3 linked regions of the Arabidopsis thaliana genome follow. The protein of the gene in region 3 purifies or fractionates together with the protein of the main gene of each other region. This does not show direct contact. Each region holds a gene or a part of one and is shown on either strand. Other genes may lie near its edges.

The links.
Region 1: the proteins of AT4G14310 (region 3) and KAC2 purify together in Arabidopsis thaliana (affinity purification with mass spectrometry, with the first as the bait; one large-scale study listed by BioGRID). This does not show direct contact.
Region 2: the proteins of AT4G14310 (region 3) and AT1G56080 purify together in Arabidopsis thaliana (affinity purification with mass spectrometry, with the first as the bait; one large-scale study listed by BioGRID). This does not show direct contact.

Annotation. Positions count from the first base shown.
Region 1 is NC_003076.8:26,167,126-26,170,879, reverse strand, and holds the start of KAC2 (kinesin like protein for actin based chloroplast movement 2), read left to right. Parts: upstream 1-1,688; 5' UTR 1,689-1,878; coding exon 1,879-2,076; intron 2,077-2,296; coding exon 2,297-2,420; intron 2,421-2,587; coding exon 2,588-2,674; intron 2,675-2,792; coding exon 2,793-2,963; intron 2,964-3,046; coding exon 3,047-3,153; intron 3,154-3,324; exon of another isoform or gene 3,325-3,456; coding exon 3,457-3,477; intron 3,478-3,584; coding exon 3,585-3,716; intron 3,717-3,754. UniProt on the Arabidopsis thaliana protein: Kinesin-like protein required for chloroplast movements and anchor to the plasma membrane. Mediates chloroplast movement via chloroplast actin (cp-actin) filaments. Required for the chloroplast avoidance response under high intensity blue light.
Region 2 is NC_003070.9:20,974,584-20,978,337, reverse strand, and holds the start of AT1G56080 (interactor of constitutive active ROPs protein), read left to right. Parts: upstream 1-1,965; 5' UTR 1,966-2,122; coding exon 2,123-2,392; intron 2,393-2,491; coding exon 2,492-2,560; intron 2,561-2,648; coding exon 2,649-2,702; intron 2,703-2,795; coding exon 2,796-2,838; intron 2,839-2,961; coding exon 2,962-2,997; intron 2,998-3,135; coding exon 3,136-3,381; intron 3,382-3,473; coding exon 3,474-3,519; intron 3,520-3,607; coding exon 3,608-3,686; intron 3,687-3,754. Other genes in the region: AT1G56090 (Tetratricopeptide repeat (TPR)-like superfamily protein), read left to right, coding at 1-349; AT1G56085 (Cyclophilin), read right to left, coding at 797-993, 1,131-1,259, 1,438-1,565, 1,816-1,823.
Region 3 is NC_003075.7:8,238,230-8,241,983, forward strand, and holds the start of AT4G14310 (Transducin/WD40 repeat-like superfamily protein), read right to left. Parts: upstream 2,096-3,754; coding exon 575-2,095; intron 340-574; coding exon 259-339; intron 212-258; coding exon 1-211. Other genes in the region: AT4G14315 (uncharacterized protein), read left to right, coding at 2,765-2,944; AT4G14320 (Zinc-binding ribosomal protein family protein), read right to left, coding at 3,612-3,754. UniProt on the Arabidopsis thaliana protein: Might be involved in division plane determination.

The sequences.
Region 1 (3,754 bases), on a different chromosome or scaffold from region 3:
TTTTTCACTTTTTAATTTTCTCATCAATAAATCTGTCCTATAGTACTATCAAAAATAACAATAAGATTACTCTTATATCTACGTTTGGCTAAACATCTATCAAGTGATTTATTATTATTCACTTTGTGTTAGGCGAGATTTTCACAAATTTATAAATTACTCCGGTTGGTAAATTAACCTAATAGAAATGAAATTCTGCGTCTTACATATCCAGAAAATAACGTTATCAGAGATATGTGTTATGACTGTAAATTAAGGATTTAAAATTGATTCGGGTAGAACGTGAGAGCTAAATGGACGTGACTTTCGAAGGACCAATTTTAGATGAAGCAGCATTATACGATTTGTTGGCGTGTGAATATGATTCTTCTACTTTTCTTTTTCAGTATTTATATCATTATTTTTGCTTCAAATAAGCAATTATTTAGCTGTACGTTGATAACTTGATAGTGTGTTTCAAGGAAAAAAAAGTTAGTCATACATTAAAAAAAAGTTTTTAAAGTTTAGGAAAAAGGTATAGAAGATGAGTTGAATCATACTATTAAAGTGTTTCGTACATAAACAAATTGTATAAAGTTAAAGTTTTGGGTTAGTTCGGGTTACAATATCACATCGAACAAATTATTAAACAACGGTATTCATGAATTTATCCAAAGTTTATATAAAGCGCAAGTAAAGTAAATAGTACCATAACGCCAAGAATCTAACCATTTTTTTGGGTTAGAAATTCATTTAATTTTGTAATTAATGTCAATATACATCATCTGATTTTGTTTTATTAAATAGACTTTAAGCTTTTTTTCCACAAATATTTAGTGCCTTGAGATTTCCTTTAATTGCCTTTAAGATATTGTTTTGAGTGTCAATGCTTAAAATCATTTGGGCCTGAACAATTAAGATAAGGCCCTTTCATTGTAGTAGACTGTTTAAGGTCCAAAAATAATACAATAACTTTGGGCCTTTTTAAGTAAAATTATATGTAGATTTTAGAGAATTCAGAAGTTATCCCTCTAAAGCTCAATTTTTCTCCCACACACTTTTTTCTTCTTTCATAAAGTAGACCCACCAAAACTTTTGTAATCAATTTTTTTTTTCTTGGTATAAATACGAGTGAGTAATTATTTACCTTCAATGTCACGCTATCTGGTCGGTCCAAAATTCCAAAAGAATTAATAACAAAAAAAAAAAATCATATGCACCACACAGATCTGCGTGTGCCATTATCATTTAATCAATTAAAATTCGATTTTCATTGCACCTTTGTCATGATCATCATCTTATGGTACCATCCTTTTATCGTATTAAAATTAGTAATATATACAGAGACTACTGATACGAAAAGTAAAATAAATACAGAGACTACTGTAGATACTCATTGCACCGTAATTTTGAAATGATCATTGTGTTTATTTTTTTAGTTTCTTCTACATTTTCAACAAATAAACAAGCTCTATTTGATAAATTCCTGACTCTATAATATTTTGATCGGTATTACTATTAAAAAAGGACCGAACAATGAACTGAAATCGAACACGAGAAGGCGTCGTTAACGCACAGCACAAAATATTTTGTGTCTTAAAAGACGTTTTGGTGTCTCTGTCATTTTATTATTTTTAATTTGTTTTGTTTATTAAAAAAAGAAGAAGAACAAAGCAAAAACGACATCGTATGATACTCATTGCTTCGGCCTTCATTTTTATATCTGAGAGAGAGACAAAGAGACAAAAGTAAGAAACACATTTTTTTTGGATTTGGAGGTAATAAATTTCAAAAACTTTTGAATGTTTTCATTTGGAATCTGAGGTTGTCTGCTCGAGAATTTTGGTGGGTTTGTGCTGAAATCTGGAATAGGATTAGGGTTTTTTCGTGAATTTGAAAATGGCGGAGCAGAAGAGTACCAATATGTGGAACTGGGAGGTGACTGGGTTCGAATCGAAGAAGTCGCCTTCTAGTGAGGAAGGCGTTCATCGGACACCGTCTTCTATGCTTCGACGGTACTCGATCCCGAAGAACTCGCTTCCACCGCACTCGTCGGAGCTTGCGTCTAAGGTTCAGAGTTTGAAGGATAAAGTTCAGGTGTGATAATGTTTTTCTGAGATTTGTATATTTGGGTTTGAGTAAGAATTATGTTTCTAAGCTCTTTCTATTGATGAGTTTGAAATTTGTGAAAGATGATGATTTTAATGTTTAGACGAGTATAGAGGTGATGTTTTGTACAAGTTTTAAGTACAATGATGCTATTTTGCGGTTGTGTGATTAAGCTATTTTTTAAGAAAATTTGGTTTTGGTTGAATAGCTTGCAAAGGACGATTATGTGGGATTGAGACAGGAAGCTACTGATCTTCAAGAGTACTCCAATGCGAAGCTTGAAAGGGTTACACGTTATTTAGGTGTTCTGGCTGATAAAAGTCGTAAACTGGGTAAGTTTTTAGTTCCCGTCTGTGTATTCCATGTGAAAGTGTAGTTTATTTTTGGCCACTATGCATTATTAGAGTGTATGCATCTATATCTATGTATCTCTTGTGATAGGAATTTTGTTACAATTCGGGAATGTGTTTTGTTCACTTATCTGCATAGCCTATCACAGATCAATATGCACTTGAGACTGAGGCTAGGATATCTCCACTTATCAATGAGAAGAAGAGACTGTTCAATGACTTACTGACGACCAAAGGTGCACATCTTCCATTTCCGACGTCATTCTCTATCCTTACTTCTATTGATATTGATCACACCAGGTTTAGATTGTTCTATATGACCCTGAATGTATAGTTTATTGTTTAATCTTTCAGGGAATGTAAAGGTATTTTGTCGAGCAAGACCCTTATTTGAAGACGAGGGTCCCTCTATCATTGAATTTCCTGATAACTGCACTATACGCGTAAACACTAGTGATGATACTCTGTCCAATCCCAAGAAGGAATTTGAATTTGATAGAGTTTATGGGCCTCAAGTTGGACAAGGTGAGTTATAATACTCCTTAAGAACTGTTTCCAATACTTTTGTAAATATGTAATCCGGAACTTATTCAGTAAAATTTCCTCAGCTTCACTGTTCAGTGATGTCCAACCTTTTGTGCAATCCGCTCTGGATGGATCGAACGTTTCTATATTTGCGTATGGCCAAACTCACGCGGGGAAGACATACACCATGGTTGCCCCTCCTTTCCCTTTCCTCTCTGAAATTAGATATAGGTCTTGTTTGGTATCCGTATTATCGATGTTGTTATGCTTAGTATCTAACTTGAGGTACATGCATACAAAATAATTTTTTCGAAGTTGCTAAAATGACAGGGGGTATGAACAGTCTTCTAATATACTCATTCTTTTTACTGCTTATTTGCATGTTTATGGTTTCAATACTTTTTGGCTCTAACCAAGCCGAGGATATCTATGTGATTGAACTTTGAAATCGCAAAAAAGTTTCATGTTATTTGACAGGATTTAAATATGATAGGCAAGTTCATGGACGTTCATAGTAAGTTCATGGACGTTCATAGTATTATCTTATCGATTTACGAGAGATTTATATATCAGGCAATTGCTCTCTGTTGATGTTAGTTATATGCTGTCGCTTTTTCTCAGGAAGGATCTAATCAGGACCGTGGTTTATATGCTCGTTGTTTTGAGGAACTTATGGACTTGGCCAATTCTGATTCAACTTCCGCATCTCAGTTCAGTTTCTCTGTTTCAGTGTTTGAGCTTTATAACGAACAGGTGCTTTGTTTTTTCGTTTTGAAGTCGTAATACTGCAT
Region 2 (3,754 bases), on a different chromosome or scaffold from region 3:
TGGTGTCAATGAGAGAAGAGATAAGAGGTTTGAGTCGGTAGTTTCCCTTAGAAGAGATCTAGAGACTACAGGAGAAGATGCGATAAACAAGGGGGAAGTTGTTGCACCTAAAACACCAGAGGTTAGAGAACAGAACAGCAAGGAAGTGCCAATGTCTGGAAAGCAATCTAATGCATGGCAAGCCATACCTAAGCCTAAGGGTCATTCAACACTCGATTACGCCCGTTGGAATACAGTTGAAGATGATTCCAGTGAAGAAGAAGACGATGAAGACAGCGATGACAGTGATGAGTCGCCACCTCAGTACAGATTCCGTGTTAAGACAGTCGGGGTGCGTCCTGTGAAGTGAAACATTGTAGATAGGAACATGGGATGGTTTCTTTCATCCTGATATATTGCATATTGCACAGGAGAGCTGTGAAAAAAGCATTAGAGTGAAGGGGATAGTGATACCAAAGCAGACTAGTCATGTTTTGAATTGCCTCTTCTGTAATTGGTTTCAGCGGTCACCATGTATCAATGTGCTGTGTCTTTTTATACATCTTCGAAAAGAAACATACCGAGTTTAGATAAGATACACAATACAGAAGACCATGTTCAAACCAAATGGCCTGTTGTTCTATTTGTTAATACTTTCTTTGCCTCAGAGACTCTGCTTTGTTATCACCATGAAGATGATAATGATTTAGAATTGAACAGAAATGGAATTTACAAGCTTCATTATTGATAAGTCACAAAAATACATCACTGCCAAAGTTTTGTATTCATGACATTACCAAAGCTAGATTTGATTAGCTCATATGAATAGGCCCATGCCTTTATCTATTCCTTCTCCCATCCCTTGCTTCTCTCCCATTTCCACTGTGTGTCTCTCTTGCCGTTCCTTTATAATCTCTATGACTCCGACGATCATCATCTCTATCTCGTCAACTCTCCACATGGTGTATTCATCTTCCCTATTGTCTCTTTCTTTTCTCTCTGTGTTTCTTCTCCCTACCAATACCATCATCATTCCTCCTCTCCATTTCCCTTAACTCATCCCGATGATGCTGTCTTCTACCAATGTACTTATCTGCCTTGTTCTCATTGTCACTTTCATCTCTGTTGCCATCTTTTGCCTTCTCCATTACCACGAGGACTTGTCCGACGAATCTTCTCCCTAACACCCCTCTCATCCCTGTCATGACTCATGACTATGAACCCTCTTGGGGATTTCAGGTACATCACCCTCAAATACCATATCATAGCCGTACAAAAATCTGGAAATCCAACATAACAGGAGGTTAGAAAAGTTGACAAACTAATGGCATTGACAGTAGGAAACACAAATAAGGAGGTGGCAAAGCAGCACATTAGGCAACACAGAGTAAAGGACTCAAAAGATTAAGTATGGCCAAAATATCCACATATGATTAGAGATCGTAAGAAGAAAACAACATCTTACTTGTACATTGAATCCCCACCAGCTCCTGTGATCACCGGTCTGTGCTGTGAAATCTTTTTGCACTGTGTGGAAGAGACACCCATTGTAGTACTTGATCCTATCCATATAGTAAGTTAAACCCCTTAAGAGACATAATGAATATCATGGAAATGTTACTTAGTAGATAGGCAAAAAGACACTTACTTGCAGATCTTAAGAAAGTTTTTTGCAGGTCAAAGGGCATTTATTTGTTAGATATCAATCACTCTATCCCCAAGACTTGTCACAATAAGAACTGACATGTTCACTACCTGCATAACCTGAAACCAAAAATTAGAAGTGAGAAGAAAGTAGTACGCTTTTTCACTAGCTTATCTCATTCATCAACAAACCCGAGCATTACTGTTGGGGAAGGGAAGAAAAAAGAAGAACCAAAGTTGAGTTTTTCAGATATCGTTCAAGTTCTTGGGGTTTAAAAGAAGGGTTAAATTGTAACAAAACCAAAGTTGAAGGTATTTAAATAAGAACAAATAGCTAAAGGGGTTTAAACATGAAATATATAAAAGGTCAGGGTTTCATGGTCAATATATAACTATCTCTCTCTGTCTCGGACAAAGACAAATAAAAAGTGCGAATCTTCCAATAAAAACACGCCACGTAGTTTATTTAGGCAGCCGAAGATCCCGAGGGCCCTTTGCGATGTCTCAAAGCGGCGGTGACTTCAACCTCTCCGACGAGATTCTCGCCGTGATTCCCACCGACCCTTATGATCAACTCGACCTCGCCAGGAAGATCACTTCCATGGCTATCGCTTCAAGGGTTTCGAATCTGGAATCTCAAGTCTCCGGCTTGAGACAGAAGCTTCTTGAGAAGGATCGGCTTGTTCATGAACTTGAAGACAGAGTCTCTTCCTTTGAAAGACTTTACCATGAAGCTGACTCGAGTTTGAAGAATGTTGTCGATGAAAATGTAATAATTCTCCTCAGTTTTGTTAAATTTGGTTTGACTTGGATCATCAAAGTGTGTCTTTTACTCAATTGGTTGAATTTTTGGATTTTTGGATTGAAGATGAAACTGACTCAAGAACGAGATTCACTGGCAATCACTGCGAAGAAACTCGGTCGTGATTATGCAAAGGTTCTTTCTTTTCAAATGTTATGGTATTGATTTTTGTTGAAATTTAATCATTTGATTTCAAGCTCAAGCTCTAGTGTTTTGCTTGTAGTTGGAAGCATTCAAGAGACAATTGATGCAGTCATTGAATGATGATAATCCATCTGTATGTTACTCAACACTATACTTCTTTTGACATCCTTTTATATATGAAACAAAACAAAATCAGATGTTACATACTCTCCTCTTGTTTTTACAGCAAACTGAGACTGCTGATGTCAGAATGGTTCCTCGAGGCAAAGGTATTGTAACATCATCTCAAGTATTCTGAGCTTATTGGTCTTCATTGTCTTTCCTTTTTCTTTATGTGTTAGTCTCTTCAAGAGTTGCTTGTTCTGATGTTATTTACTCTGTATGCATTGTAGATGAGAATTCAAATGGATCCTACTCAAACAATGAAGGTATTGATTGCTGAGTTATCCAATAATTTAGTTTGTAGCAACAAAAGAACATACGTTAGTCCAGAAGACTTGTTGATGTTTTCAATATAATGAAGAACAAAAAAAAACATTTTCAATGTGTAATGGTTCATGAAACAGGTTTAAGTGAAGCGAGGCAAAGACAGTCTATGACTCCGCAGTTCTCTCCCGCGTTTACACCAAGCGGAACACCAAAGATCTTATCTACTGCTGCTTCTCCGAGAAGCTACTCTGCTGCTTCATCGCCAAAGCTATTCTCTGGAGCTGCATCTCCAACATCTTCACATTATGATATACGTATGTGGTCTTCAACTAGCCAGCAATCTTCAGTAGCAAACTCTCCTCCACGCTCGCATTCTGTTTCAGGTTCACAACTTTAAAGCATTCTAATATGTTGTCTAAATTTATATCATGTGATTTGTGGCTTTGTTCTTATCCTCTCACTTGATCTTATACAGCTCGGCATCCGCGGATTGATGGGAAAGAGTTCTTTAGACAAGCCAGGTATATATAAGTTCTAAAGTTCCTAGAGCCAGCAACTAGTATATGAGAATGAGTGATAGATAGATAAGGAATTGTTTTGAATTTTCAGGAGCCGTTTGTCTTACGAACAGTTCAGTGCATTCCTGGCTAACATCAAGGAACTTAACGCCCGGAAGCAGGGCCGCGAGGTAATAACCTCATAAGCCATAACATAGTCCTTAACCAACTCTTTTAGTCTGAAATTTGTATAATGTTT
Region 3 (3,754 bases):
AAACTCTTGAAGATCCGTCCTCGATGTGGAGTGCCTTAATGTCTTTCGTGTAGAAATCCCATGAACAAAAGCCAGATTCTAAGGTATTCCCAGCAGAAGCAGCTACGACATATCTGCCTGAGCAGCCATCAGCACCCGGTGCACGAACTACCCAGCAATCTCTCCAAGTGTTTGGTGAGATACCATCTGGAGGACTGTACACAGATTTCACCTGAAAAAGAATTTCAAGTCTTTGATGTAAAAGATAATAATGCATACATAGTGAACAAAGCCAAAAACTCCAGTCACTTCATACAAACGCACCCAGATTGACAGAGAATTACATTCATTAACCATAAACTGTGCATACTATTAGCCCAAAATAAAGCTTTAGTCACTAAGTATTTCTGCAAGTATAAGATGAAAAATCCAATCTAAATCAAAATAAGATATGCTAAACATCTTCTCGTAACTTGAGATATGTGTATGTTGTGGTCAATATGAGATTTTAAAATCAATGTTCCACACTAGCACAGTTCAAGTTAGATCAAACATGATACTAAAAACTTTTCATAAATGAAGAAACGCATAGTACCTCAGAGTTAGCGACATCGTAATAGGAACACGAGCCATCATCATGAGCAAGTATAACTGCCTCGCCCTCTGATACAAACCATCCTCCTGTAGAAGTTTTGGACCCAATGTCATTGAGTTGATACATGCATCCATCATCTATTTCTTCCAGCTCCATCTCCTCTCTATTCTCTTCATCATCAATTTCCTCGAGGGCTTCGTTTGCTCTAAGAATTTCAGTTAAGTTGGAAGTCAGATTGACGTCTTTTGAGACATCATTTTCCTTTGACGGCTCCTCTGTATCCATCTCCTGCACTTCCAGATTTTCCAGCGCATTCTGATCACTCATAAATGTGACTTTTTCCTTGTCAAGTGAGGCCAAGAACTCTAGAGCTATCGCATTCTCCTCAACAGGAGCTGACGGCTTTTCTTCAGCATTCACTGCCTTGTTGGACTCAACAGAATCATGGCCTTTTGAGACATGCGAAGATGTTTTGGACTGAGTTCTGCTCCTTAGCAACCTCTGGTGAGGCAAGAGTCTGTCTTCCAGCTCTTCCTTATTTAATCCTTTCACAGAACTTTTTGCTTTCGTAGTTTTGTTTTTCTCTGGACCATCAATAACATGACTCATAGACTTTTCAATCCCTGTGATTTTCTGATGTATATCAGAGATTATAACCTTAGACGAATCCGGATTGTTCAAATCCAGCATATCCTTTGTCTTCTTGATATCTGATGCAATTTTCTTAACCTTTCCTTCAAGAAAAGCAAGCTTCTCGTGCAGCTTGCTTGGATACTTAGCAGTACTATTGCTGCTTCCTTCATTTCCTCTTATATCCTTTGACATCTCCATTGCCTTCCCAACATTATCCAAAGACTTCCTTCTTAAAGCTACACTAGTCCCTTTCCCAGTCTTTTCAATCTTACTATCAGATTTCAAAGCAACAGTAGATTTCTCTCCAGAACCAACTAAAGCATGTGCCTTTGGATCAGAAATTGAATTTCTCGCCACACTAGAACCTTCAAATTTGCTTGAATTCACTGGACAACTACTTCCTTCATCTGCTTTCTCACAAACACTACTTGGCTCAACCTTAATTTCACTCGTACCCTGTTTGAATCCAGAACTCTTGAGCCCAGACTTCTTATCCTGACCCGATTCACCCTTTTCCCCAATAACCCTAGATTCATTTCTCTTTCTCAAATCCGAGAAAACCCTAATCAAATCAGATGGACTAGAACTCCTACCTCGCAAACCAGATGACGTGGATCGCGTAACCCGACCCTCGCCACTCACGGCGGACTTATCAATGCGCGGTACAGGCCGGAGCACTGGCTTCTGAGTCGATCCAAATGAGCGGTGACTAAGCTTCGGATTCGGATTCTCTTTGCTGGATAATGATTTCTGAAGAGCGGGATTTGAATTTTTGCTTGAGATCGGAAGTGGAGTTACAGACCTCAATGGTTTTTTACCAGATGATGGATTTTCACCGGCGCCGGTGTTTATATCTTTTAGCCGGCGGCGATTCGTTGAAGCTGACATCTGCAAAATCGTAGGGTAAAATGATTTAGGATTTTGAAAAAAAAGTTTGGGGGAAAAATAAAAGCTTTTGATTTTTGAAGAAAAAGCACAAAACGATAAATGGAGGATATCACTACCGCAACTCCACAAGCCGACAAATTTATTAGAGTTTCAATTTCAAAATATTTGGGCGGGATTTCCAAAAAAAAAACTCAAAATTTTTGGAGATCGCGAATGTTCAAAAAGTCGATTGATTAACGAAACGCAGCGTTTAGGTAAATTTATTAAACACGTGATAGCAACAAATGCAGAACGCGACATTTTGAAACACGTGGCAGTGTAGAAATAGCGACACGAATTTTGTTAACTAAAACGCTGCGTTTTTAATAAAATATACAGTAACAGTTGAATAGTTGATTGCGACACGAAACGATGCGTTTAGGGTATGCTGTTTTTAAAACACGTGGCAGCAACAAATAAACCGAAACGCAGCGTTTTGAGGTGGTTATTAACGTGAAAGGTCTCGCCAGTTTTTGTGTTTCATGCATTAGTACACGAAACGTTGTCTTCTACTTCTCGGGGAAACGACACAACCGTAGATTTGATGTCTGAATCTGTGTATATATAACTTCTCCAATTAGAGACACTAACACAGAATTGATCACTACTCCTATCGAAAAGTAGACGAAAATGGCGAATGAGTATGGATTCGGGATGGGTTCGGTTTTGGCGATTGTTGTCGTTGCACTAATGTTACTGTTTGTTCCGTTGATGATGGGACCGGTGACTGCACCATCTCTTCCAATGATCTTGATGTTTCCGGTCGTATTGCTCTTTGTGTTTCTCTATCTCCATTTTACTTCCAAGTGATCAAACATCAAATCTCTTTCTATTATTATCGTGTAATATGCAGTACGTATTTATTTCGATAGTATTGCTCTTACGTTTTTGGTTATACATTTATAAAAACAAAAATTGTATTTGTTCTATTATATACAATATATCAATTGACTAACGCATGCGCAGTTGGTTTGGATCTCTATTGATTTGCAAGTAAATTTTTTGGATTTATCTTTCTTTCTCACTTCGTTTCTTACATTATTAGAGAATTTGACTTACATCGCGATGTATGTTTTACAAGCAAGTAGAATCGATGCCACTTTCCTTAGATATTAGCGTAGTAGACAATGTCAATGATCGAGAAATATACACAAAAGTACCTAACTTTTGTCAGCATGAACAGATTTGAATGATATTACGTAATTGTAGAGAAGAAACTTACCTTAAAATTAACACCTCTAAAAGGTAAGAATGTGTTAGTAGAAAATGGCTATTCATATTGTAAAATTAAAAGGCCGTATAATTAGTACAGAGGAATTCGACTTGGAAACAGAAAATTAGAGATTAAATAAAACACGAATTTTAAATAACGGAAATAAAACTTTAGTGTAAATTATCTATACCCATAATATATATAGTACCAGAATCTAAGTATAATAAAGTAAAAAAAGAAAAACTGAAGTAGCATCCTTGACCGTCACCACATCTTCCGCCGCTGGCTGCCTGGCTCCACCACCACCACTACTACATTCACCGGTTCATTGTCAATACCACCACCAACAGGTCCTTCTCCTCTATCACCACAGCAGCCAGGACCACCACAGCAGACACAAGAGAATA